7 linked regions of the Kluyveromyces lactis genome follow. The protein of the gene in region 1 purifies or fractionates together with the protein of each later gene. This does not show direct contact. Links are inferred from orthologs where the notes say so. Each region holds a gene or a part of one and is shown in the gene's direction. Other genes may lie near its edges.

Region 1 (3,675 bases):
AAATTGGTTTTCTGGGCATCTTTTCTATATCCAACATTTCTTTGATTAGATTGGGATCTTCAAGACCTTGGCCAACGAGAAATAGATTAGCCACCATACACCTCACTTGATGCCACAAGAAAGCTGAACCTACCAAGTCAAAGCAGTACATGTCTTCGCTGACGTGCATGATATTTGAACTTTTAATTGTCCTCTTATAATTTGTAATCTGTTTTGAACCATCTAATTTGCAAAAGTTTCTGAAATCATGCTCACCTTCATAGTGTTTGGCTGCCAGTTGCATCCTTTCAAGATCCAAACCCTCTGAGCTGAACAAGTATTTGTAATGTCGACTTTTACAGCTGAATCTGGCATCAAAACCTTTTGGTGGCCGTAGGCAAACTGCAGATACTCTGATATCTTCTGGTAAAATCTGGTTTAAAATATTAACATATTGAATCTCCTTGTCGTCATAGCTGGGATCAAGCTGCTCTTCTGCAGTGAGATTCGAACGAACTCTCAATGAAATTACTTGATTCATGGCACTAACGCCTCTGTCTGTTCTTCCACATCTACTAAACTTATATTCTTGAGGAACCATGGACGGAACAAGTTTGCATTTATTCATGGTCTCTAATATCGTACCCTCGACAGTAGGTAAAGGAGTCGCATCTTTTTGAATTGCCAATCCGTTATAGTTCCATCCCAAATAAGCAAACTTGAAGGCGACAAACCGTGTGTTGTATTTGGAGAAGTCGAATTCCCTTGATTTCCTAGGTTTCTTGACGTTCTTTCTTCTCTCTGCTTCAACAGCAGCGTCCGCAGATCGCTTTTTTACCTCAGCCACGGTATCTGAGTTATTTCCTTTAGCATCACTACCATTTTCACTAGTATTTTCCAGCTGTAGCAATCGCTCAATCAACTGTTCCCTGGTCCAATTCTTATAAGCAGACTGGTCAGTGGACATTGCTGACACAGTGCCTTTACCATCTAGTTTGAAAAGTTTTGATAAAAATCCCATCCCAGTATATGTAGTCTTGAAAGAATTATATCACAAGGCTAATATAACTTCATAGAAGTTTAACAAATAGATCATATCAAACAAATTTGAATACAAATTGTTATGAATGGAACAACCATCGAGAACAACGCCGCATCAATGCCAATCAGCATTAAATGCAAGTTTGTACAGATTTAATGGAATTTTTTTTCTTTTCTATTGGGATGGCAGCTGGAAAGAAAAAAAATAAGTTCAAGCTCATCTCATCTCATCGGGAAAATGTATCCAGATTAAATCAGTGTGAACATATGCATACATTTGAAATCCAGGAGTAAGATTTGACCAACAAGGTATAAACTCACCACTCCAAAGCCTAGTCTAAAGTTTCGAACTGATACAAAATGTCGAAGTCGTTATCGTGGGACGATTTGAAATGCGAGATACAACCATGGATTAGAACGGCTATAGAATCGATGGGGTTTGAGACCATGACGCCAGTTCAAGCCTCAACTATTCCGTTGTTCTCTGGTAACAAGGATGTCGTGGTAGAATCTGTTACAGGATCTGGTAAGACTATAGCGTTCGTGATTCCAATTTTAGAAAGGTTGATAAAAGAAGAAGCCAATTCGGCCAAATTCAAGAAATCACATTTCCATTCGTTAATCATTTCACCAACCAGGGAATTAGCCAGTCAGATTCATGATGTGATAGAAGACTTTCTGAAGTATTATCCAGATAATCTGTACCCAATACGGTCGCAATTACTCGTCGGAACAAGTAGCGCTAGTGTTCGAGACGATATCAATAGTTTTACAGATAACAGACCCCAAATACTAGTTGGTACTCCTGGGAGAGTCCTAGATTTTTTGCAGAAGACTAATGTAAAGACTGCTTCCTGTGGTACCGTCGTGTTAGATGAAGCTGATAAGTTATTGGATTTGAATTTCCAGAAAGATGTAGAAACCATTTTAAAGATGTTGCCGAAGCAAAGAAGAACAGGGTTGTTTTCGGCAACAATCGAAAGTGCGGGTGCGCAAATCTTCAAAACAGGTATGAGAAATCCAGTGAAAGTTGCTGTGAAGTCTAACTCGAGCGCACCTTCATCTCTTTCGATAAACTATATCGTCATTCCACCTAAGGATAAATTACAACTATTGTTGACTCTACTCAACAACTACAGATTCAAGAAATGCATAGTTTACTTCCCGACATGTATCTCGGTCACATATTTTTACGCATTCATAAACCATTTGAAAGAGCTTAATTTGATTCAGGATGATCTAAAACTCTTCTCACTACACGGAAAGCTACAGACGCAATCGAGAATGAAGACGCTTGACAGTTTCACTTCTAACTTGACCGATGCCGTACTATTCACCACAGATGTTGCTGCTAGAGGGATAGACATACCAGATGTTGATCTAGTTATCCAACTTGATCCACCAACAGATGCAGATATATTCATTCACAGATGTGGTAGAACAGGTAGGGCTAATAGGATTGGTAAGGCACTTGTGTTTTTAAATGAAGGTAGAGAAGAAGATTACGTACCATTCCTGGAAGTGAAAAACGTCAAACTAGAAGAAGAATCTGTGGAACTGAAAGGCGTAGAGAATCTAACCAAAATATTCCACGATTGGATTTTACACGATAGAGCAAGATTCGATCACAGCGTAAGAGCATACGTTGCATTTATAAAATACTACTCAAAGCATACTGCATCATCGATCTTCAGATTCCACTCCATGGATTTCATCGGCGTTGCGAACTTTTACGGGTTGTTACGTCTGCCACGTATGCCCGAAATAACCAGGTATGCTGCCGACCAAATTCCGGAGGAAGGTTGGTTGGTATCACCACCAGTGAATTTAGACACATTTGCTTACTTAGATAAACAAAAGGAGAAGGCGAGGTTACAAGAATTACAAAACCTCAAGCAAATAAGCGATAAAAAGAAACTGAAAAGTGAGCTAAAGAAGAAGAACATGGCATGGTCCGATAAGACACTAACTAAAGAAGCCAAAGCTGAAAGAAGAGCAGCTATGGCCATCAAGAGGAAGGCAATTGAAGAGAAACTTCTGCGGGGCGATGAGGAATCAGAAGATGAAGTTGAGCAAGACTGGAAAGACCTTGTAAGACAAAACAAGAAAAAGAAGCATAACTCCATGCAAGGAAGTTTCGATGATTTATAGTCAATTACATATCGTAGATAAATCTATTATAATATAAATGTGCTTGTTTCATTCGAGTCCCCGTCATATAACAATGTGTTTTCAACCGGTACATATTGATGTGTCAATAATTTCACGCATTCTTGTGATACCATTGCACCAAGAATTGATGCCATCGCAGGGCTGACAAACGTTGTATCATGTCTATCGTTTTGTAGCGATAGCAACTTATTGAACTTCGGTTTTTCACTTATAGTTCTAGTTGCCGATGAGAGGCTACCCATTTTAATTGCATCCAAATGTTTTAAGTTCTCGAGCATTTTATCTATGAGTGGTTCAGGTATCAAACTATAATTCTCCTTTGCTAGAATGCGCATGATTTCTGATTTATCCTTGGCAGCTTTACGTTGATATACTGCTTTCTGCGCGTTGAATAGTTTAGTTGAGGATTCCATATCTGGAATGAATGCGGACACAGGTAAATCGCCTCTCAAATCGTAAAATATTCTGATGCATCGTACAAAT
Region 2 (2,490 bases), on another chromosome or scaffold:
AAAAGAATCTTTCGGCATGACAAAAGCTGCAATCTCTTCCAATTCCTCCTTGGTAAACTTAGATTCAGCCTCAGTAGAGAATGCTTCCCAGAATTGTGCACTTTCTACATCATCTTGGATAACATTCGGTATTTCCTTCTTGCTAGCTTCAATCTCGTTGTATAAATAAGTAGACGGTTTTGGGCCAATCAGTGAATAAGTTGGTAACAGATACTCGTACCATCTAGAGCTACACATTTTCCGACAGTCGAATGCCTTGTTGACACGGGAAATGTCCCAAACTCTAATCTGATCCGGCAATTCGTTGTTGATTTTTTCTTTGACTTCGGGATCTTCGATGATTAACTTTAATGAAATCACATTCCCACCTGCATGAACACCTTTATCGGTTCTTGCCGCACGTTGAAACCCGTTTTTCTTCAAATCTGTCGAATTTGCCTTGGATATCGCACCAGCTCTAACAAAGGCTTCAAACAGTTCCTTTTCAATGGTGTCGTTCGGTGGATTGTATTGCATTCCATGATATCCAGTACCGCAGTACCCAATCATGACTGCTACTTTCCTCTTGGGTAGACGAACTTCTTGGGGAATTGGATTTCCATCAGCATCCACAGCTAAAGCCACTGACTCGTCCTTATCCTTGGATCGAGTCTCTTTCTTTTCGTTGGAAAGGTCTGTGACAACAGCGGTTGGCCCATTATCAGTGTCGTTTGGTTTCTGACGCTTTTCAGAATTCTCACCATCCTCATAGTCAGCTTTCCGTGATCTGGTCTGCTTGTAGATGGCGCCTCTCTTGTAAGTATCTTCACCAGGTTGATCATCATCATAAACCGGTCTCAAATTTTGTTCTTCGCTCATAACACCCGCTTCTAGTTTTCCCTATTGAAGCACCTCTGCAGATAGATAAGTGGTAGGTCTGATTGAGCCTTAAGAAGAATAGAAAAGCCCAATTTAGCATTCAACGTTCAACCTTGAGACTTTCAATCAGAGCGATGAGCTGTTGATAAAAGTTTAAACTTTCCAAGATTTGTATGAAGAATCATATTTTTTCAGCAAAGAGGTCAGCGATGATCTAAGAAAATCATGAATACAGGAATAACATATTTCTTTAGCTCATTTTATCCATTTGGATACTCATTATGTGCGTTAACCTCTATCTGGAGCCCAGTGTATCGATTGTAAAAGGTTTGAGCACCTGTATACTGCGTTTACGAAGGTTATTAGATATATTTCTCAGTATCACGTGATTTGTTTGTTTCTTTTTCCTGGTATCTTGAAGGGCAGCATCAAATTTTCTTTTCATCATTATTAGACTGAAGCTCATCGCATAAAAGATGATGCTATACCTGAAGCGATGAGTACTCTACGAAATAGTATTCGAAGCTGTTGTATTGAATTCAAAGCCGGTCAGAATCAGGTATCGAAATAATAGCAATGAGACAATTGACAGAGGAAGAGACGAAAGTAATCTTCGAGAAGCTAGCAGGGTACATTGGAAGGAATATAGTGTACTTGGTGGATAATAAAGATCAACCTCATGTTTTCCGACTACAGAAGGATAGAGTGTACTATGTCCCAGAGCACATTGCCAATTTAGCTACTTCAGTTGCTAGACCGAACCTGATGTCATTGGGTCTCTGCATGGGGAAGTTTACCAAGACTGGGAAATTTAGATTGCATATCACATCTTTGTCAGTACTTGCGCAATACGCTAAGTACAAAGTGTGGATCAAACCTAATGGTGAGATGCCATTCCTATACGGTAACCACGTTTTGAAGGCACACGTTGGTAAGATGTCCGATGATATTCCAGAGCATGCAGGTGTAATCGTATTTTCGATGCATGATGTGCCATTAGGATTCGGTGTGAGTGCTAAGAGCACTTCTGAGTCCAGAGATCTTCAACCAACCAGTATTGTCGCATTCAGACAAGCAGATATTGGTGAGTACTTGAGAGATGAAGATACATTGTTTACTTAGGCGAATACTCCAAAGTACATTTTCACTTACTTGTTACATATATAGAACTTATTACTCATTTCACTTTCTGGATAGAACAAAACCTTCCCCTGGTGCAACTGCAATTCAGCGATGTTCCCACCTCAAAAAAAAGTTGTTATTTATCAACGATATTGTATATTATGATATATTACGGAACAAATAATACTCACATCTTCATCAAAGACTGTCTAAATTAAAATCAAAGACGACTGATATTTGATATCGCAGGAAAAACTACATTAATTAAAAGTAAAATGAATGTACATATGTTGTTAGTTCCCTCTAATGCTTACGCGAGTTTTTAGATTTAGCATTTGACGTTTTTTTACCTGCTGGCTTCTTCACGGCTTTCTTAGTGATATCTAATTTGGCTTCTGAAGCCTTAGATGCTTTAAAACCTTGAGTGTTCTTCCCAGAAATGTTCTTTTTGCTAACCCTATAAGTTGATCTCTCCTTTAACGGTAACCATCTTTCAGGATCCAACTTCTT
Region 3 (3,256 bases), on another chromosome or scaffold:
AGTAACTATCAGATTTGAGGGCACACAACAGGACATACGGAATGGGAGAAACACAGTTTCACCAGTATCAGGATGAACAGTAGAATCTAGCTGTTTCTTTGCATGCCAGAACTCAGGCGTCGTTTCTTTCAACTCTCCATGGCGATATGCACTGATGATTTTGCGAGCTTGTTGAAGATCATCACTGCTCGTTAACAACATCGTTGGATCAGAAATCTCTGCGCAGTGACGAACACGTCCCCAATAGGTGCTTAGATCATAACGAGATTCTGGTAGGGCAATTGGACCTGGGACACTGGATGCCATGATAAGCTGTACTCAAGTGTATCGAAGTCTTTTGGATGAGCTGAGCTTCTACGAGACAAACACGACTTTGTTCTTGCTTAATTACTTTCGAGATGAGATGACTCTTTAGATATAAATGCATTATTCTCTCGAGCTTGCATTTTTTTTTTTCATTCTGCAGCGTCAGAATGATACGTACGGCGTTACAAAGCTGCTGGAATTCTGATAAGAAAAAAGACAGTAATTATTGATCTAGCAATAGGTTATTATAATTCTCTTATTCTCGGAGAAACTGTACTAGTGAAACGATGATGATTCCAACCACTTCGATTTCCAATTTAGCAATAACATATTTGTCTTTGCCCTAATCATATTCTTAACATGTCTAAAGGTAATATGATAATTTACCCGGACAACTAATTTTCTCTGCCTGAAAAAAAAAAAGAACAGACATCCAGTATAAATTGAGAAGCTTTTCACCTTGAGAAAAAGACAAGGTTAAAGCAAGTACTCTAAGTTAATCAAATTCGAGTCGACTGTTCTTTTGATTATTTGGCTTAAAAAAGTGATACGAAACATATTAATGCCTTCTATTCACTGTGCCATCTGATACACCGTAGATGAACAGAGGGGAAAAGAACGGCTAGATGAAAATTCTATCCGCGAGCGTACCTCATACTGATTAAAGTACTTAACTATTTTTCATCAATTGGCTTTAATTGGTAGCTGCGTGAGCGGGACATTCTCTATCTCTTGTCACTCCTGAATTTACTTATACTTGTATATACCATATATTACTCGTGAAAATGTTTAGTATTACACGGTCATTAGTCTGTCACTTAGCTATTGGTGTACTGACTAATTTCCACTACCCGGTTCCTTAAAACATATACACGTGACTGGCATTTATTTCTGGCGGATTTCTTTTTCGAGCAGTGGTTTGTTTCCCAAAAATTTTCCAAGCTCATCGCATCTTACAACGCTTAGAAAATGTACAAGATAGGAAGAATAGAGTTAACGCGCTCCATCGTACCTCAGTAACAACGTGCGATCACAATCTATTAGACAATTCAAACTAGAATTCACTGGAAGAATATCTTAGTTATAAGGAGAAGTAAACTGTAGGGGAATATGTCAACAGATAAGACTCAGGTGAAGCTACGCTTCTTTACTCGTGAAGAAGATGAGACTTTACATGTCAATGATGCTCCAATCTATGCTCCAGTTAGTCTAAAGAGATATGGTCTTTCTGAAATTGTTAATCACCTACTGGAATTACCTAAATCTATGCCATTTGATTTCCTTATCGATGGTGAACTTTTGAGAACATCGTTGCAGGACTATTTGATCAAGAAAGGTTTATCATCGGAAACCTTTTTGAATGTTGAATATACTAGAGCAGTGCTACCACCTTCATATTTGTCTAGTTTTGATAACGAAGATTGGGTAAGCTCATTGGATGTCGGAAGCAATTACATCTACAGTGGTTCCTATGACGGTATCGTAAGAACGTACAACTTGTCAGGGAAAGTCGAAAAACAATACAGTGGTCATTCTGGCCCTATTCGTGCTGTGCATTACATTTCTAGTACGAGATTGGTGTCCGCAGGGAATGATCGCACTCTACGTCTGTGGAAAACGAAGAATGATGATTTGAAATCAATTGATGAAGAAGAAATTGAGGATGGTAAGACATTGGCCATCTTGGAAGGTCATAAAGCCCCTGTAGTGTCCATTGATGTTTCGAAAGACCGTATTCTATCTGCATCATGCGATAATACGGTGAGCTTGTGGTCCACGAATTATAAAGAGATGACTGTCATTGATCCGATGGAGGATTTAGGAGGCAACGTGTCTACTGCAGCCAAGAAGAGGAGAAAGTTGACTCTAAAAGATGGATCTATCAGAAGAAGAGCCCCTTTGGCTCTTTTTGAATCTCACAGTGCTCCAGTAGAGGCTGTCATTTTCGATAAATCGGATGATACTGTTGGGTATTCCGTGTCACAAGATCATACTATAAAAACATGGGATCTGATAACGGCAAAATGTGTCGATACAAAGACGACATCGTACTCACTTCTTTCTGTTGCGCAACTACCAAAATTAAATCTCTTAGCATGCGGGTCGAGTGCCAGACACATTACTCTTCATGATCCTCGTGTAAATTCTTCATCTAAAATCACCCAACAGCAGCTTGTAGGTCACAAGAACTTCGTTGTCGCTTTGGATACTTGTCCAGAAAATGAATATATGATATGCTCTGCATCTCACGATGGAACTGTCAAGGTTTGGGATGTTAGGTCTAACACTGCAATGTACACTATCACCAGAGAAGATAAAAATGTTGTTAAAGGTGTCAATGATAAAGTGTTTGCTGTCAAATGGGCTAAAGGCGTAGGTATCATCAGCGGTGGTCAAGACAAAAAAATTCAAATTAATAAAGGTGATAATATATTTAGTAACTAATCGTAATTTTATATATTATATACAGGAATTATGCTCACTAGTTCACTTAAATATAAAAGAAATGTACCACAAAAAATGTTGAGAAACAACATAGTATTTGCAGGGTTCTAATGTTAATTATCTTTTTAGTTCCGAATGGAATTTGGCTAGACCATAAAACCCTTGGAATAAGGATTCGTAGTCTGTTAGGTAACCATTCAAATTTTTAACATCAACCTGGTTGGAATGATCTTCCCATCCACGTAATTTACGTAGTCTTGCTAGCTCATCGTATGTGAATTGTACTAGTGGTCTAGTTCCGTATTTCAACGGTCCAACATTAACCCAGTGTAAACGTCCTGTACAATTGTTAGAAAGCATCTCAATAGCATTGAAGTAATCAAACATGTTTGCTGCTGTGTCAATAAAGAATGCAGAACATACTATTATATTTTTGTATTTTTTCTCTGGTTTATAGCAGCAAAAGTCACCGAAAAGTACTGTTAAGTTCTCTGGCTTTTGGAAC
Region 4 (2,902 bases), on another chromosome or scaffold:
ATACGGCTCAGTGTGTATTAATTATATGGTTGTATAATTTTTCAGTTTCTCGAGGATTCAATACTTTCACTATTAAATATGAAAGAAAAAAAAAAGGAATTTCGAAGCTCAAAGCATTCAAAGAGTCAGATTACAATTAAGAATCAAGAAAGTCGACTTTTGGGTTCAGCGCGGGTCCTGCAATGTTCATTCTGATAACCACTACTCGATTTTCATGCCGGTTTTTTTATCGTACTTGTCGTTTTGATAGAAAAGAAAAACATAAGACACTCGAAGTGATTTTTATTCCTTCGAGCGTGGACTTAGTCAGCCCGTAGTGGAAGTACATTTCCTACTGTTCACGCTGTAGCTCAACAAACGGCACAGTGTATTTACTATCTTCCTAGAATCACGTGAGCGAAGGGAAAAATATAACTTAAGAGTAGCATAATTCCAGTGCTGTCAGCGGTATCGCTCAGTGATTTGGAATTTAAATCGAGGAAAACGTCCTACAATTTAGGGACAGGCATGCGTTCACGGTTAAATCGTTCGAAATTTTTTCCGTCGTTCGAGCCGCCCCACTGGGATCTCTGTTGTAAGAAAAGACCGCCGATTTATGATAAAGGGCGGACTTTGCTCTGAGGTTCCTTCTCTGCCTTTTCAGCATTCTTCCTCTCGAGGGACCTTTTCCCATTTCTTTTTTTTCTTACTTGTTCTGTGTTGAGAACTTGAACCACAGTTGATCTCACGGTTGTTTCGAAACAGAGAGCGGCATAGATGGTACAAAGAATGGAGCCACGGCTGGTTTCGAAGGAAACACTGCTGTGGGCACACATTTCGAGACTCCTAAAGCCACCTCGAAAGCCAGTGTCAAAAGCCAAGATATAACGATTTCATGAGCTGATACGGAAAACTTTACTGCCGGTTAGAAGTGCTAGTTCCTGCAGCAGGTAGATAGGGGAAACTGCTTGAAAATTCGTCTCTGTATATACGATTCACATATAGACAGTCACAATTTGACTATTTGACTATTTAACTTGCTTCCCATTCTTTGGGTAACTTTCCGAAATGTTCCCATTTAATTCTGAAGAATCTTGCTGGGGTACACCATGCTGCAGCAACAGATCATCCCAGGTAAACGCCAACTTGCCAGTACCCTATTCGAGGTCAGCTTGTAATTGTAATTGTAATTGATCATCTACTTGTCTGAGTGTCAAACAGAAGATCTTGGTTTCACAGTTCACGTGACTGGAAGTGTTTCTTTTCGTTACAGAAAATTTTTTTGGCGAGGAAAAAAAAGTTCAGTGCGATGAGATGCGATGAGATGAAATTAAAGATTATGAATAAAGCTTTCAATGAGAGATGACCTTGGCTAATCTGAAGTATTAGGAGCATATAAGTTGTATTATATAGAGCTGGTTTGTGCTGAGATTAATAAACAGGGCAGTAATATAGAAGCAACAAATGTCACAACCATTGAACTCGAACCCAGAGGTTCTTTTAAGAAAGAGAAGAAATGCTGATCGTACTAGGTTGGAGAAGCAGGAGCTTGCCAAGAAGAGAAAGGAGCAAGAAGAGAAACAGAAACGTAGTAAGAAGAACAGATTTGTTAGAGCTGAGACGATAGTCGCCACAACTTTGGCTACTGAGAGAGAAAAGACCAGAATCAGAAGAGTCAGAGACTTAGAAAACCAAAAGGTCAAGAACGATTTGTCACATATCCCATCCGATAGGGATTTTATCTTGCGTATCTCTGAAAGAGAAGCCGGTAGTAAGGCTACATCCGAATCTGAGCTTCAAGATGTTGATGAGGAAGATGAAGAGGACGATGGGTTAATCAGGGAAAAAATCGTATACGATGGTGAGCCAAGCTTATTATTTGTTATAAGAGTGAAAGGACCCACAGCTGTGAAGATCCCAGCAAAGGCTTACAAAGTGTTATCTCTTTTGAGACTTGTTGAGTTGAACACTGGTGTTTTCATCAAACTTACCAAGGACGTGTACCCATTGTTGAAACTTGTATCACCATATATTGTTATCGGACAACCTTCACTTGCATCTATCCGTTCTTTAATCCAAAAGAGATCTAGAATAATGTGGCAAAGGCCAGAAGATAAAGAACCAAAAGAGATAATCTTGAATGACAACAATATCGTTGAAGAGAAATTAGGTGATGAAGGTGTCATTTGTATCGAGGATATCATCCATGAGATTTCGACGTTGGGCGAAAATTTCTCGAAATGTACTTTCTTCCTATTACCATTCAAATTGAACAGAGAAGTCAGTGGATTCGGTGCCATCTCCCGTTTGAATAAACTGAAAATGCGCGAACAAAACAAGAAGACTCGTCAAATTTCAAACGCTGCCACGGCTCCAGTTATCCAAGTAGATATCGACTCAATGATTTCCAAGTTGAATTGATTAACTATAAAAGGAAAATATCTGTACAATAGACATCGGGCTCCCATTGGCCCTACCCACATATGTAGAAATACATTACTCTATTCACTACTGCATTTAGTTATGTTTAACATTTGATATAGCAGACGCTACCGCCAGGCACAATATATTCCCCTTCCCTCTTGCCATTCGCTGTACTTGTGGTGGATTCCAATTCAGCGCAGTCACGTGCTAGTAATCACCGCATTTTTTTCTTTTCCTTTCAGGCTAAAACCGGTTCCGGGCCTGATCCCTGCACTCATTTTCTAACGGAAAACCTTCAGAAGCATAACTACCCATTCCAGTTTAGAGTCATGACAGGTTCAACATCAGATGCTTCATATACTTTTATATATTGAATTATATAAATATATCTATGTACTCTAAGTAAGTACATCTGCTTTAACGCATTCCTACATTTGCTTCGATTTATTTTTATTGTTGATACCTATTTGAAGAAGTAAAAAGTATCCCACACTACACA
Region 5 (4,078 bases), on another chromosome or scaffold:
TAAAATTGGGATAGCAAACAGTACGGCAAAGAACAAGAAGGTTTTGAGACCTCCCCCAACTTTCCTTGTTACATAGTAAGGAATACCACCGAGCAAGGAGAATAATAACCAATTGGAAAAGTGTCTGGAAGAAGGTCCCTCTGCAGGCAATGGAGCGTTCTTAATAGCTGGTGATGCTGTCGTTTTCACGCCATATTTGGAATTCACTGGTTCAGGAGTTTCCGCCGGAGGAGTCTCCTTAAACTGAATCGTTTCAAATGAATACTTACTCATCTTCCCGTGTATTCAACGCAGTGGATACTAGATTGATATCTTGCGCAATTGAATTAAACAATACTTTATGTACAAGTATCTCATACAACCATAAATTAATCAAGTAAGTAAGTACTTGAAAGGATTTTTGATTTTTGCAGTTTTATTTTGGAATGCTTTTCTTCTTCCTTTTTTCTCTGTCTGTAACGTGTATCGTTCTACTGGCTGGAATGTACAATACGCAGATATTCTGGCCAAATATAGTGATACTGAACCCGGATGAATTAGGCTATATATACACCTACGTATAAGCGGGAACCATTATGTTGTGTGATAATTGGATATAAGATTGCAGTTACTGCCAATGGACCGAGAGGGCCATAGAATGCATCTCTATTTCGAGAGGCGGTCATAAATTTATTTAGCCTATGGTATGATCAGCAGTAGCAATAGTAGTAACTACCCATACCTATAATCTTGCAGAAATATTATAAGCATCGGTACCCTTATAGCCTGAGAGCGTTGCATAATTATTTGTAAACGTTGGCAGTGCTAATGGTTGAAAAAAAACCGAAATCATATTCCTTATTTAAAACTGTGGAACGCTAAGGGCCCTCTATATAAGTCTTGTGTTGTTACAGTAATATCAATATCCATGATAACACGTCCAAACAGATTTTTTACTGCTCGTTATTTTAACAGTGGAAACCGTGCATAGCATCAAAGCTGGCAGTTCCTCCAGTACAGTGTCCGGTGTTTCCATACCTGGTACCGCGAGCATTCTTAACCCGAACACCGCATCCAAAATTATTTCTTTTTCAGATAATTTTTCATTATTTGTGAGAAGAGTGACAATTTTTTATTTGAGAAATTGGTCTAGCGATGAGATGAGATGAGATGAGATGAGAAGAGATTAGTTGAACGTTGAACAGGTTACAACTGTTGTTTATTTGCTTTCTGATATCCTGTTCTCTTTTAGACTTGAGTGAATAGGTCACCATACATTACCGAGAAGACCAAGATGGGTAAGAAGACGCAAAAGAAGAATTCCAAAGGTCGTTTAGATAAGTACTATTACCTTGCTAAGGAAAAGGGCTACAGAGCTCGTTCTTCCTTCAAAATCATTCAAATCAATGAAAAGTATGGACATTTTTTGGAGAAGTCGAAGGTCGTTATCGATTTATGTGCTGCACCAGGTTCCTGGTGTCAAGTGGCTTCCAACTTGTGTCCTGTTAACTCCTTGATTATTGGTGTCGATATTGTTCCGATGAAAACTATGCCAAACGTTATTACTTTCCAAAGTGATATCACAACGGAAGATTGTAGATCGAAATTAAGAGGGTACATGAAGACGTGGAAAGCCGACACCGTTTTACACGATGGTGCTCCAAATGTTGGTTTGAGTTGGGCTCAAGATGCCTTCACACAGTCTCATTTAACACTGCAAGCCTTAAAATTAGCCGTTGAAAATTTAGTAGTTGGTGGTACATTTGTAACGAAGATCTTCAGATCCAAAGATTACAACAAGCTAATTTGGGTATTTCAACAGCTCTTCGAAAAGGTGGAGGCAACCAAACCTCCTGCTTCCAGAAATGTTTCTGCGGAAATTTTCGTTGTCTGCAAAAATTTCAAGGCCCCTAAGAAGTTGGATCCAAGGCTATTAGACCCAAAGGAAGTCTTTGAAGAATTACCAGATGGTCCACAAAACATGGAAGCCAAGGTTTTTAATCCAGAAAAAAAGGTCAGAAAAAGAGGTGGTTACGAGGAAGGTGATTATTTGTTATACCATGAAACTGGTCTTATGGACTTTATGAAATCAGAAGACCCAATAACTATGCTTGGAGAATATAATAAATTCATCGTAGACGAAGAAGATCATGACTGGAAAATTGTGAAGAAATTAAAGCAAACCACCAAAGAATTCTTGGCATGTATCGAAGATTTAAAGGTTCTTGGTAGAAAAGATTTCAAGATGATCCTAAAATGGAGAAAAGCAGCTAGAGAACTTTTAGGCTTGGATGAAGAGGAAGAAAAACCAGAGATTGAGGAAACACCTTTGACAGAAGAAGAGCAGATTGAAAAAGAACTAAATACTCTACAGGAGAAACAAAGGTTGTCTGTTAAGCGTGAGAAGAGAAAGAAGAACGAAATGAAACAGAAGGAAATTGTTCGTATGCAATTAAATATGATCAATCCAGTAGACATTGGTATCGAAGCTGCAGAGTTAGGTAGAGAATCAATTTTCAATTTGAAAACTGCAGAAAAAACGGGTATCCTTGATAAACTTGCCAAGGGTAAGAGAAGAATGATATTTGATCAAAATGAATTAGCCATAGATAACGATATCCACATTGATGAAAATGCGCCTCTGGATGATCGTGATGAGCTCGCTGAGGCTGATGAACTAGAATCCCAACTTGATGCCATGTACAGTAACTATAAGGAACGCAAGTCAGAAAGAGATGCAAAGTTTAGAGCTAAGCAAGCCCGTGAATCCAGTGAAGCGGACAACTGGAATGGATTCGAGGACAAACAAAGTGATGAAGAGAACGAAGAAGAAACTAAGGATTATGTTGACGACGATGACAACTCGGATCTTTCAGACTCTGACGATGATGAAGCTATCAATCAGTTGATAGCAAAATTGAAAAGTAGAGAAAACAGCAGCAAGTTAAGTTCTAAAGCTCGCGCGCTATTTTCCGATTCTTTATTCGAGGGAGTTGAACCAGATTTACCTGGTAAGGCGGATCTTGCGGATTCAGAGTCTGTGGGTGATGTCAAACAACTAACAAAGAAAAGAAAATTGAATCCACTTCCTGCAGAGCAGATTTCTGAAGCCGAATCTTCCGACGAAGATAGTGATTTCGAAATCGTCGCAAACAACGAAGATGGCGATGTAGACTCTGAGTATGATTCCGAAGAAGAGGCAAAGAGGACAAAACAAGAGAAACATTCCAAAGACATTGATATTGCGACCGTTGAAGCTATGACTCTAGCTCATCAATTGGCATTAGGTCACAAAACGAAACATGATTTAATCGAAGAGGGTTTCAATAGATATTCTTTCCGTGATATGGAAAACCTGCCCGAATGGTTCGTTGAAGAAGAAAAACAACATTCCAAAATTAATAAGCCTATCACCAAAGAAGCAGCCATGGCAATAAAGGATAAACTGAAGGCTCTAAATGCCAGACCCATCAAAAAAGTTGCTGAAGCTAAAGCCAGGAAGAAGCACCGTGCTGTTGCTCGTTTAGAAAAGTTGAAGAAGAAGGCTGGTCTAATTAATGATGACAGCGATAAATCTGAAAAGGACAAGGCTGAAGAAATTGCAAAATTGATGAGAAAGGTTACCAAGAAAGCAAAGCAAAAACCGAAGGTCACAGTTGTGGTTGCAAGTGGTAAGAATAGAGGTCTTTCCGGCAGGCCTAAGGGTGTTAAGGGTAAATATAAGATGGTTGACGGTGTTTTAAAGAACGAACAAAGGGCTTTGAAACGTATCGCTAAAAAGCATCACAAAAAATAAGGAATGCTAATCATATCACTTAATCCGTGAAATGGAATTGTACATTATATTTAGTCGTAGATAGAATATTGAATAAGATCAACCTACTTCAAAAAAGTTTTCTGATCAAATACAAAACAGAAAAGAGCACCAATCCCAAGGTAAACAGCTGAATACATAAGTTATCAGATGAGTCTAGTTTCGGAAGGTTAATTGTCATTTTAGTAGAATTTAGATAGTAAAATTTGGTGTTGTCAGTGAAAAAGTGTTCATATCCGATTTTTCCAGTATAGAAGGGTGACCGTTTCGTAAGTTCAATGGAAG
Region 6 (4,308 bases), on another chromosome or scaffold:
ATTCTTGGGCCATTTCAAGGCAAAGTTGCTTGTCAGTTGATTCAATTTGGTAAAGGAGTGTGTGGTACTGCTGCGTCTAGTCAACAAACTCAATTAGTACCAGATGTTGAAAACTTCCCAGGGCATATAGCATGTGATGGGGAGACAAAGAGTGAAATTGTGGTTCCTATAGTCCAAAATGGCGAAACAGTAGGTGTTATCGATATTGACTGTTTGGACTACAACGGGTTTACTAAGCTTGACCAAGAATTTCTAGAAAAATTGGCCGCTTCAGTTTCAAAGACATGCGTATTCTAACTCATTAAGTAGTTACACTCGTTAATTATATTCTCTCAATTGATATCACAACTCTTGACCGTATATGAAGTTGCCTGTTATTGCATACCTAACATAGGGCATGCTGCCCCAGGTCCAGTGGAACAGAAGTTTTCTAGTTTTCAATGAAAAAAATGATTTCGCCCAGGATCGAACTGGGGACGTTCTGCGTGTTAAGCAGATGCCATAACCGACTAGACCACGAAACCATCTTGTGAGGTCTGTCGTAATATAGACTGAAGACAAGCCAGACGAGAGGTCATGTGAGCTAGCCAGCACACGGCAGAGTTCCAAGACGTCAGTGACTGGGCATATGGATCCTGTGGTATCCAGAAGGGATGGCCTAGATGGATCATAGACGGTCACGTGATGGTCTTGAGTGCGCGTGGAGGACGGTAGCTGCAGAGGACCTACAAGGGCATGGAGGCAATGAGTTGCCATGACGAAGTCTGACGACCATCCGAGTATATAAGTCGAGTATAAAAGGCTGAGCTATGTTGCGACCTCTTGGGGAGGTTGGACGCATATACTCAACGATCTAACTAAATAGATTATTATATTATATTCGTTATATTGTTTGATATCAACGATCCCTCATCAGGCGATTAATCAATCAACTATCATCCAAGGCATATCACAACAAGATCTGAGAGAACTACATGAGTATATGTTACATCGTTAAGAGTTTCTGAAGAAACGAAATAGGTCTCTCTTATCAGCGCCCCAAATTGGAATAATGAAGTTTACTGGAAATAGCTTCTTCAATGATGAAATTACAAACTTGAAAACGATGTTGCATCTACTAGAATAAAACTAAGATAACTGTCTATGATGCAAAAAAAATAAGAGTTAAGAATTACATTCATTGTAGGCTAGCGACCAAAGTAAATATCTTCAACGTAAGTAGAAGTATATGTGGAGTTGATTGAATACCAGTTCCCTATCTTTGCTGAAGGGTACTTTGACTTTTTCAAAATAGCATTCTTGTTCAAAACTTTGTAGAAGTAATTAATGTATCGTAATTTTCTTTCTTTTTGTTTCTTAAAATTTTCAATTTTCATCTTGAGAGATGAGATGAGATGAGCTGAAGTGAATAGACCACAGAGATAACCAGTACTTCTCAAAGTTAACGGCATCAGAAGAAGCTCTGAAAGTATAGAGAGCCAGAAAACAATACCAGAAACTATGGCCAGAAAGAATTCTTCTTTGAATGGTTCTGAATCAGCGGAGCTTGTTGTAAAAAAGAGAGTTCTCGAGGAATCTGAATTGTCCGATTCTGAAGATGAAAGAATTGAAGTTGATGGTTTAATCGATGAAGAGGCTAGCGAAAATGAAGCTGAGGAAGCTGAAGATGACGACTCTGATGCTGAATTCAATCGCTTATTAGCTGAAGAAGAAAATGGACAGGAGGAGGAGTATAATACTTCAGATTTTTCTGAAGAAGGCGATGCTTTTTCCATTACCGACAAATTGTCAAATGTAAAGTTAACAGTGATTCCAGAAACAAGCGATGAAGGCATTGTTCGTACCAAGTATTCAGATGGAAGACCAAGAATTCTTAAGTCAGAAATTAATCCTGTTTATGATAGTGATGATAGTGATGCAGAAGCTAAGAACACAATTGGTAACATCCCACTATCTGCATATGATGAAATGCCACATATTGGTTATGACATTAATGGTAAGAGAATAATGAGACCAGCCAAAGGATCTGCTTTAGATCAATTATTGGAATCTATAGAATTGCCAGAGGGTTGGACAGGTTTACTAGACAAAGACAGCGGTGCCTCTTTGAATTTGACCGAAGAAGAACTTGAATTAATCAATAAGTTGCAAAATAATCAACAGACGGACGAATCTGTGAATCCATACGAACCTTTAATCGACTGGTTCACTAGACACGAATCTGTAATGCCAGTTACGGCCGTCCCAGAACCGAAAAGACGTTTCGTTCCGTCAAAGCACGAAGCCAAGCGTGTGATGAAAATAGTCAAAGCAATCAGAGAAGGTAGAATTATCCCACCAAAGAAACTAAAGGAATTAAGAGAAAAAGAAGAACAAGACAGTCATAACTACGATCTCTGGGGAGATGCCGAAGAAATCTCTGAACATGTTATGAACTTGAGAGCCCCAAAATTGCCACCACCAACAAATGAGGAGTCTTACAACCCTCCGGAAGAGTATCTTTTGACCCCAGAGGAAATTGATGCATGGGAAAAGATGGAACCAAGTGAAAGAGAGAGAAATTTTGTGCCTCACAAATTCGCTGCATTAAGAAAAGTTCCAGGTTACTCTGAATCTGTCAGAGAAAGGTTTGAAAGATCATTAGATTTGTATTTAGCGCCTCGTGTTCGCAAAAATAAGTTGAACATTGATCCTGAATCTTTGATCCCAGAATTGCCCTCTACAAAAGATTTGAGACCATTTCCAATCCGTTGCTCTACCGTTTATGTCGGTCATAAAGGAAAAATTCGTACAATGTCCATTGATCCAACTGGATTATGGTTGGCTACTGGTTCCGATGATGGCACTGTCAGAGTATGGGAAATTCTTACAGGTAGAGAAGTTTACCAAGTCACAATACTTAATGCGGAAGAAAACAATGATGACCACATAGACGTTGTTGAATGGAATCCCGACAGTACTACCGGTATCCTTGCGGTTACTGCTGGCGAAAACATCTTCTTGCTTGTTCCACCAATTTTCGGCTTTGAAATTGAAAACACAGGTAAATCAAAGATTGAATACGGTTTTGGTTTCGATACTTTCGGAAACGTCAAAAAGAGTAATCTCAATGTGAATAGCGATGATGAGGATGACGGTGCTGAATCACATGCTGTCAAGAAACAGGTTGCTCAATGGAATAAACCAACCGAAAGGCAAGCTGCCAATGATATTTGTATCGTAATAACTTGTCGTAAATCAGTGAAAAAGCTTTCATGGCATAGAAAAGGTGATTACTTTGTCACTGTTCAACCAGACTCAGGTAATACATCAGTTTTGATTCATCAATTATCCAAGCATTTAACTCAATCGCCATTCAAAAAATCTAAGGGTATCATTATGGATGCAAAATTCCATCCATTCAAGCCACAGCTCTTGGTCTGTTCTCAAAGATACGTCAGAATTTATGACCTATCGCAACAAGTGCTAATCAAGAAACTTCTACCTGGTGCTCGTTGGTTATCTACTATTGATATTCACCCAAGAGGTGATAACTTAATTGCATCCTCGTTTGACAAGAGAGTGTTGTGGCATGATCTTGACCTTGCAAGCACTCCATATAAGACCTTGAGATACCATGAGAAGGCTGTAAGAAGCGTAAGTTTCCACAAGAAACTACCACTGTTTTGCTCAGCTGCGGATGATGGTAACATCCATGTTTTCCATGCCACGGTCTATGACGATTTAATGAAGAACCCTATGATCGTCCCGTTGAAGAAACTAACCGGCCACAAGATTGTGAATAGTTTAGGTGTTCTAGATACTATATGGCATCCACGTGAAGCTTGGCTATTCTCTGCAGGTGCCGACAAAACCGCTCGTTTGTGGACTACCTGATAGAACCCTCATGACGGGATATTTGTAAAACACTGTATACTATGGACATCATTACCTATCAATATTACAAGTAGATACTTTCTAATTAGTGTTCAAGGGAATACATTATTATCTTTGGATCAGAGCTCAAAAGGTATCCATGTCTCTCATCATTGCCATTTCCTCATCTGATGCGATATCATTACCGTTATTTGTTGTGCTGGCAACGGTCGTAATTTTACTCAATTCGTCTAACTCTTCAGCGTTAGGCAGAGCGTAGCCATTTTGTGTATGTTGCCGTATGTTTGTATCAGTGGTGGACAACATTTCATTCGTGTGCCGCTGGTGATGCGAAGAATATAGAACATCATCATCATCATCATCATCATCATCATCGTCATAGTTGCCGTCATTATTCTGATTTTTGTCTTTGTCTAGGCTGATAATTTTGGT
Region 7 (2,584 bases), on another chromosome or scaffold:
CTATTTCCAGTTCCAGCGAAAGTGCTTTTCTTTAACGGGGTTCTCAACCTTCTTCTGGTCACGGGGTCTGTCCTGTTTGATGACGAAACGGGTTTGGAGGTGATGGATAGGACACGTCCTATCCATAGAATGATCGAGGAGAACCATCTTGGTGATCTGAAATGACCTCTTCCAGAGAATCCGTACGCTGGGTCCTTCCCCATCAGATAACCGTACAAGGGACCGTAAGTCCATGTGTCTAGGCAGGAGTAAACGTATCCAGCACAAAACCCGACCATTGTGACGCAAAACCTGCTGTAACCATCGGTCCCGTCATCAAATAAGAACGAAACGAAAAGATGCACTAGCGATAGATATTTACCCAAGATTGGGAATAATCCGTAGAACATTACCTTCACGTTGCTGTTGTCCAGAGTCCACGTATATAGGATCATTCCTATGAATGCGTTAGTGAACACTGGGTATGAGATCTGGCATGCTTCTACGAGCACGACGATCAATGCAAAGTTGAAACATATGTAAAACAAATAATCGATGGATTTGTTGCTGAAGTGCACTAATTCGAGATGTAACGATTTCGAGTATACTGCGTATAGGTCGAAACATGCTTTCATGGCATCGTTTGGTAAGATGAGGAAACTAGTGAACAACCTCCAGATTTGGAACTTGAACAATACACCACGTAAAGACCATTTGAAATCGCTGAAATAGTACGGTAATACGTTCAAGCGTTGGATCAAACATATTAACACCATTAAGAGACATATTCCTCGGGTCACCGGTGGAATTTGTCCTACAAACTGTATCAATTCGTTACGCATAGTCATGGCTGCTATGAATAATCACGCGTATCGTATATCCCACTGATGTTACTGAATGGTACCTCCGGTGTCTATCTTGACAGCGCATCTGTATAGTGAGTATAAATATCTTTCTTTCACTGCAACTTGGAACTGAAATTTCATAGAACCCGAAAATTAAAGCTATGGGAAAGACATAGATAGGAAAGCACAGAATGACAGAAATTGAATAGTTAAGTAATGATCCTCTACACAGGTATACGCCTAGATTTGTTTTCTACTTAGTGCATGGCAGAGCATATGAATTGGTCTAGATAAATTAGGTCAGGACGGCTAGATTGCCCTTATGCAATCATGTTATAGTTATCTATGTATTTCTTTCTGTATCTCGAAGTTTCAATATTTGGAAAAAGCATTAAAACGGAAAAACTTGCTGATGCGATGAGCTGAAGAAAGCAGATAGGCTTTTCACTTACTGAGGTGGTGCTGAGACCGGTTCAAGTTCTGCAGAAGATACAGAGTAGCAGTGTGGATATAGAGTGAAAATGGTGGCAAAGAGTAATCGTGAGATTCTTACCGGTGGTAAATCTTACAAGCAGAAAGCTGCTAAGAAATTCGGTGCTGATGAGGTAAAGTTCGATAAGGACTCACGGTTGGAATACTTAACTGGGTTCCATAAGAGAAAGCTTGATAGACAAAAGAAAGCCAAGGAGTTCATCCAAGAGCAAGAGAGAAAAGCTAGGCTCGAGGAAAGGGCCAAGATCAGAGCAGATAAAAAAAAGGCTCTTGAGAAACAGCTTGAAGATTTTAAACAGGCGATGAAAGATGTCGGTGATTATGTCGGTGTAGAGGACGACGACGAAGAAGCCGAAAATGGGAAACAGGGAAGCGATGAAGAGGCTGAAGAATGGACGGGATTTTCCGATGATAACGGAGATGCAACTGAAGAAGAAGAAGAGGATTCTGACTCTGTTAGTGTGAAACCGATCTTAAAGAAATATGTACAGACTTACTTAGATGATACTACGGTAGACATCGAACCCTTAGAGCCCAATGACAATTTTGAGTACCTTGCGGAATTAAATAATGTGAAGTTAGAGAAATCGGAACAAATTTTAGATCAAAGCATCGAACGTGCGAAGAAATATGCAAAGTTTTTGGGAGTTGAAGAAAAATCTGGTAATAAGAGTAAAAAGAATAAGAAGTTCAGATACTTGACCAAGAACGAGAGAAGACAAAATCAAAGAAAGGCCAACAATAATAAACGTAGGAAGTAATTAACCTTTTTTTTTTATTTATTATCTTCCTCTCTTTCTAAACATCTCATTCATCCATTTTCCCCCCCTCTGTTGTTGCAATGTATTCTACCTCGACTTTAAAGAATAACCAAATCCATCTTCTGATTATCTCTAAAATTTGTAACCAAAAGATGTTTAATTCCCCATAAAATACAGAGTGCCCACTGATATACTCCCAGAACCATACGAATCTCAAAATAAAATCGAGCGCCATAGCGCTATAATACCACGCATTTTTCCGGTACAACAAAATGCTTCTTAAAAGACCGTCCGCTTTGTTACTACTATTATTGTTATTGACACTAGTGTCCCCATTCACAAAATCGAACAGCTCTAGTTTCCAATCCATGGTCACATCCCACCAGAATGAATACGCGGAATTCCAAAACATGAACCAATACATCATTCCAAGTGGGCCCAGGTTGTAATATCTTGTATAGACTGTAACTAGCATGATAGGAATATTACCAGCATACTTAAAAGCAT

Evidence for each region.
Region 2: the proteins of SPB4 (region 1) and NIP7 purify together in Saccharomyces cerevisiae (affinity purification with mass spectrometry, with the first as the bait; 4 studies listed by BioGRID). This does not show direct contact. The link is inferred for Kluyveromyces lactis from reciprocal best matches to the Saccharomyces cerevisiae genes SPB4 and NIP7.
Region 3: the proteins of SPB4 (region 1) and YTM1 purify together in Saccharomyces cerevisiae (affinity purification with mass spectrometry; 6 studies listed by BioGRID). This does not show direct contact. The link is inferred for Kluyveromyces lactis from reciprocal best matches to the Saccharomyces cerevisiae genes SPB4 and YTM1.
Region 4: the proteins of SPB4 (region 1) and RLP7 purify together in Saccharomyces cerevisiae (affinity purification with mass spectrometry; 7 studies listed by BioGRID). This does not show direct contact. The link is inferred for Kluyveromyces lactis from reciprocal best matches to the Saccharomyces cerevisiae genes SPB4 and RLP7.
Region 5: the proteins of SPB4 (region 1) and SPB1 purify together in Saccharomyces cerevisiae (affinity purification with mass spectrometry, with the first as the bait; 5 studies listed by BioGRID). This does not show direct contact. The link is inferred for Kluyveromyces lactis from reciprocal best matches to the Saccharomyces cerevisiae genes SPB4 and SPB1.
Region 6: the proteins of SPB4 (region 1) and ERB1 purify together in Saccharomyces cerevisiae (affinity purification with mass spectrometry; 7 studies listed by BioGRID, with this or other methods). This does not show direct contact. The link is inferred for Kluyveromyces lactis from reciprocal best matches to the Saccharomyces cerevisiae genes SPB4 and ERB1.
Region 7: the proteins of SPB4 (region 1) and RRP17 purify together in Saccharomyces cerevisiae (affinity purification with mass spectrometry; 5 studies listed by BioGRID). This does not show direct contact. The link is inferred for Kluyveromyces lactis from reciprocal best matches to the Saccharomyces cerevisiae genes SPB4 and RRP17.

What each region holds. Positions count from the first base shown.
Region 1 is NC_006041.1:1,267,521-1,271,195, forward strand, and holds SPB4 (ATP-dependent RNA helicase SPB4), read left to right. Parts: upstream 1-1,380; coding exon 1,381-3,171; downstream 3,172-3,675. Other genes in the region: pseudouridine synthase DEG1, read right to left, coding at 1-1,000; ULA1 (Ula1p), read right to left, coding at 3,198-3,675. UniProt on the Saccharomyces cerevisiae protein: ATP-binding RNA helicase involved in the biogenesis of 60S ribosomal subunits. Binds 90S pre-ribosomal particles and dissociates from pre-60S ribosomal particles after processing of 27SB pre-rRNA.
Region 2 is NC_006038.1:200,318-202,807, forward strand, and holds NIP7 (ribosome biosynthesis protein NIP7), read left to right. Parts: upstream 1-1,434; coding exon 1,435-1,980; downstream 1,981-2,490. Other genes in the region: pseudouridine synthase PUS1, read right to left, coding at 1-858; signal recognition particle subunit SRP72, read right to left, coding at 2,284-2,490. UniProt on the Saccharomyces cerevisiae protein: Required for proper 27S pre-rRNA processing and 60S ribosome subunit assembly.
Region 3 is NC_006039.1:647,168-650,423, reverse strand, and holds YTM1 (Ytm1p), read left to right. Parts: upstream 1-1,416; coding exon 1,417-2,751; downstream 2,752-3,256. Other genes in the region: FSF1 (Fsf1p), read right to left, coding at 1-306; KLLA0_C07403g (uncharacterized protein), read right to left, coding at 2,869-3,256. UniProt on the Saccharomyces cerevisiae protein: Component of the NOP7 complex, which is required for maturation of the 25S and 5.8S ribosomal RNAs and formation of the 60S ribosome.
Region 4 is NC_006040.1:417,992-420,893, forward strand, and holds RLP7 (Rlp7p), read left to right. Parts: upstream 1-1,443; coding exon 1,444-2,400; downstream 2,401-2,902. UniProt on the Saccharomyces cerevisiae protein: Involved in the biogenesis of the 60S ribosomal subunit. May act as a specificity factor that binds precursor rRNAs and tethers the enzymes that carry out the early 5' to 3' exonucleolytic reactions that generate the mature rRNAs.
Region 5 is NC_006039.1:51,915-55,992, forward strand, and holds SPB1 (27S pre-rRNA (guanosine2922-2'-O)-methyltransferase), read left to right. Parts: upstream 1-1,273; coding exon 1,274-3,775; downstream 3,776-4,078. Other genes in the region: KLLA0_C00715g (uncharacterized protein), read right to left, coding at 1-273; PBN1 (Pbn1p), read right to left, coding at 3,864-4,078. UniProt on the Saccharomyces cerevisiae protein: Required for proper assembly of pre-ribosomal particles during the biogenesis of the 60S ribosomal subunit. Specifically methylates the guanosine in position 2922 of the 25S rRNA at the stage of 27S pre-rRNA maturation.
Region 6 is NC_006042.1:2,460,376-2,464,683, forward strand, and holds ERB1 (ribosome biogenesis protein ERB1), read left to right. Parts: upstream 1-1,500; coding exon 1,501-3,876; downstream 3,877-4,308. Other genes in the region: KLLA0_F26587g (L-methionine (R)-S-oxide reductase), read left to right, coding at 1-297; CSM3 (Csm3p), read right to left, coding at 4,003-4,308.
Region 7 is NC_006037.1:186,914-189,497, reverse strand, and holds RRP17 (rRNA-processing protein RRP17), read left to right. Parts: upstream 1-1,345; coding exon 1,346-2,077; downstream 2,078-2,584. Other genes in the region: DFM1 (Dfm1p), read right to left, coding at 1-827; ERD1 (Erd1p), read right to left, coding at 2,124-2,584. UniProt on the Saccharomyces cerevisiae protein: Essential protein involved in ribosomal RNA processing.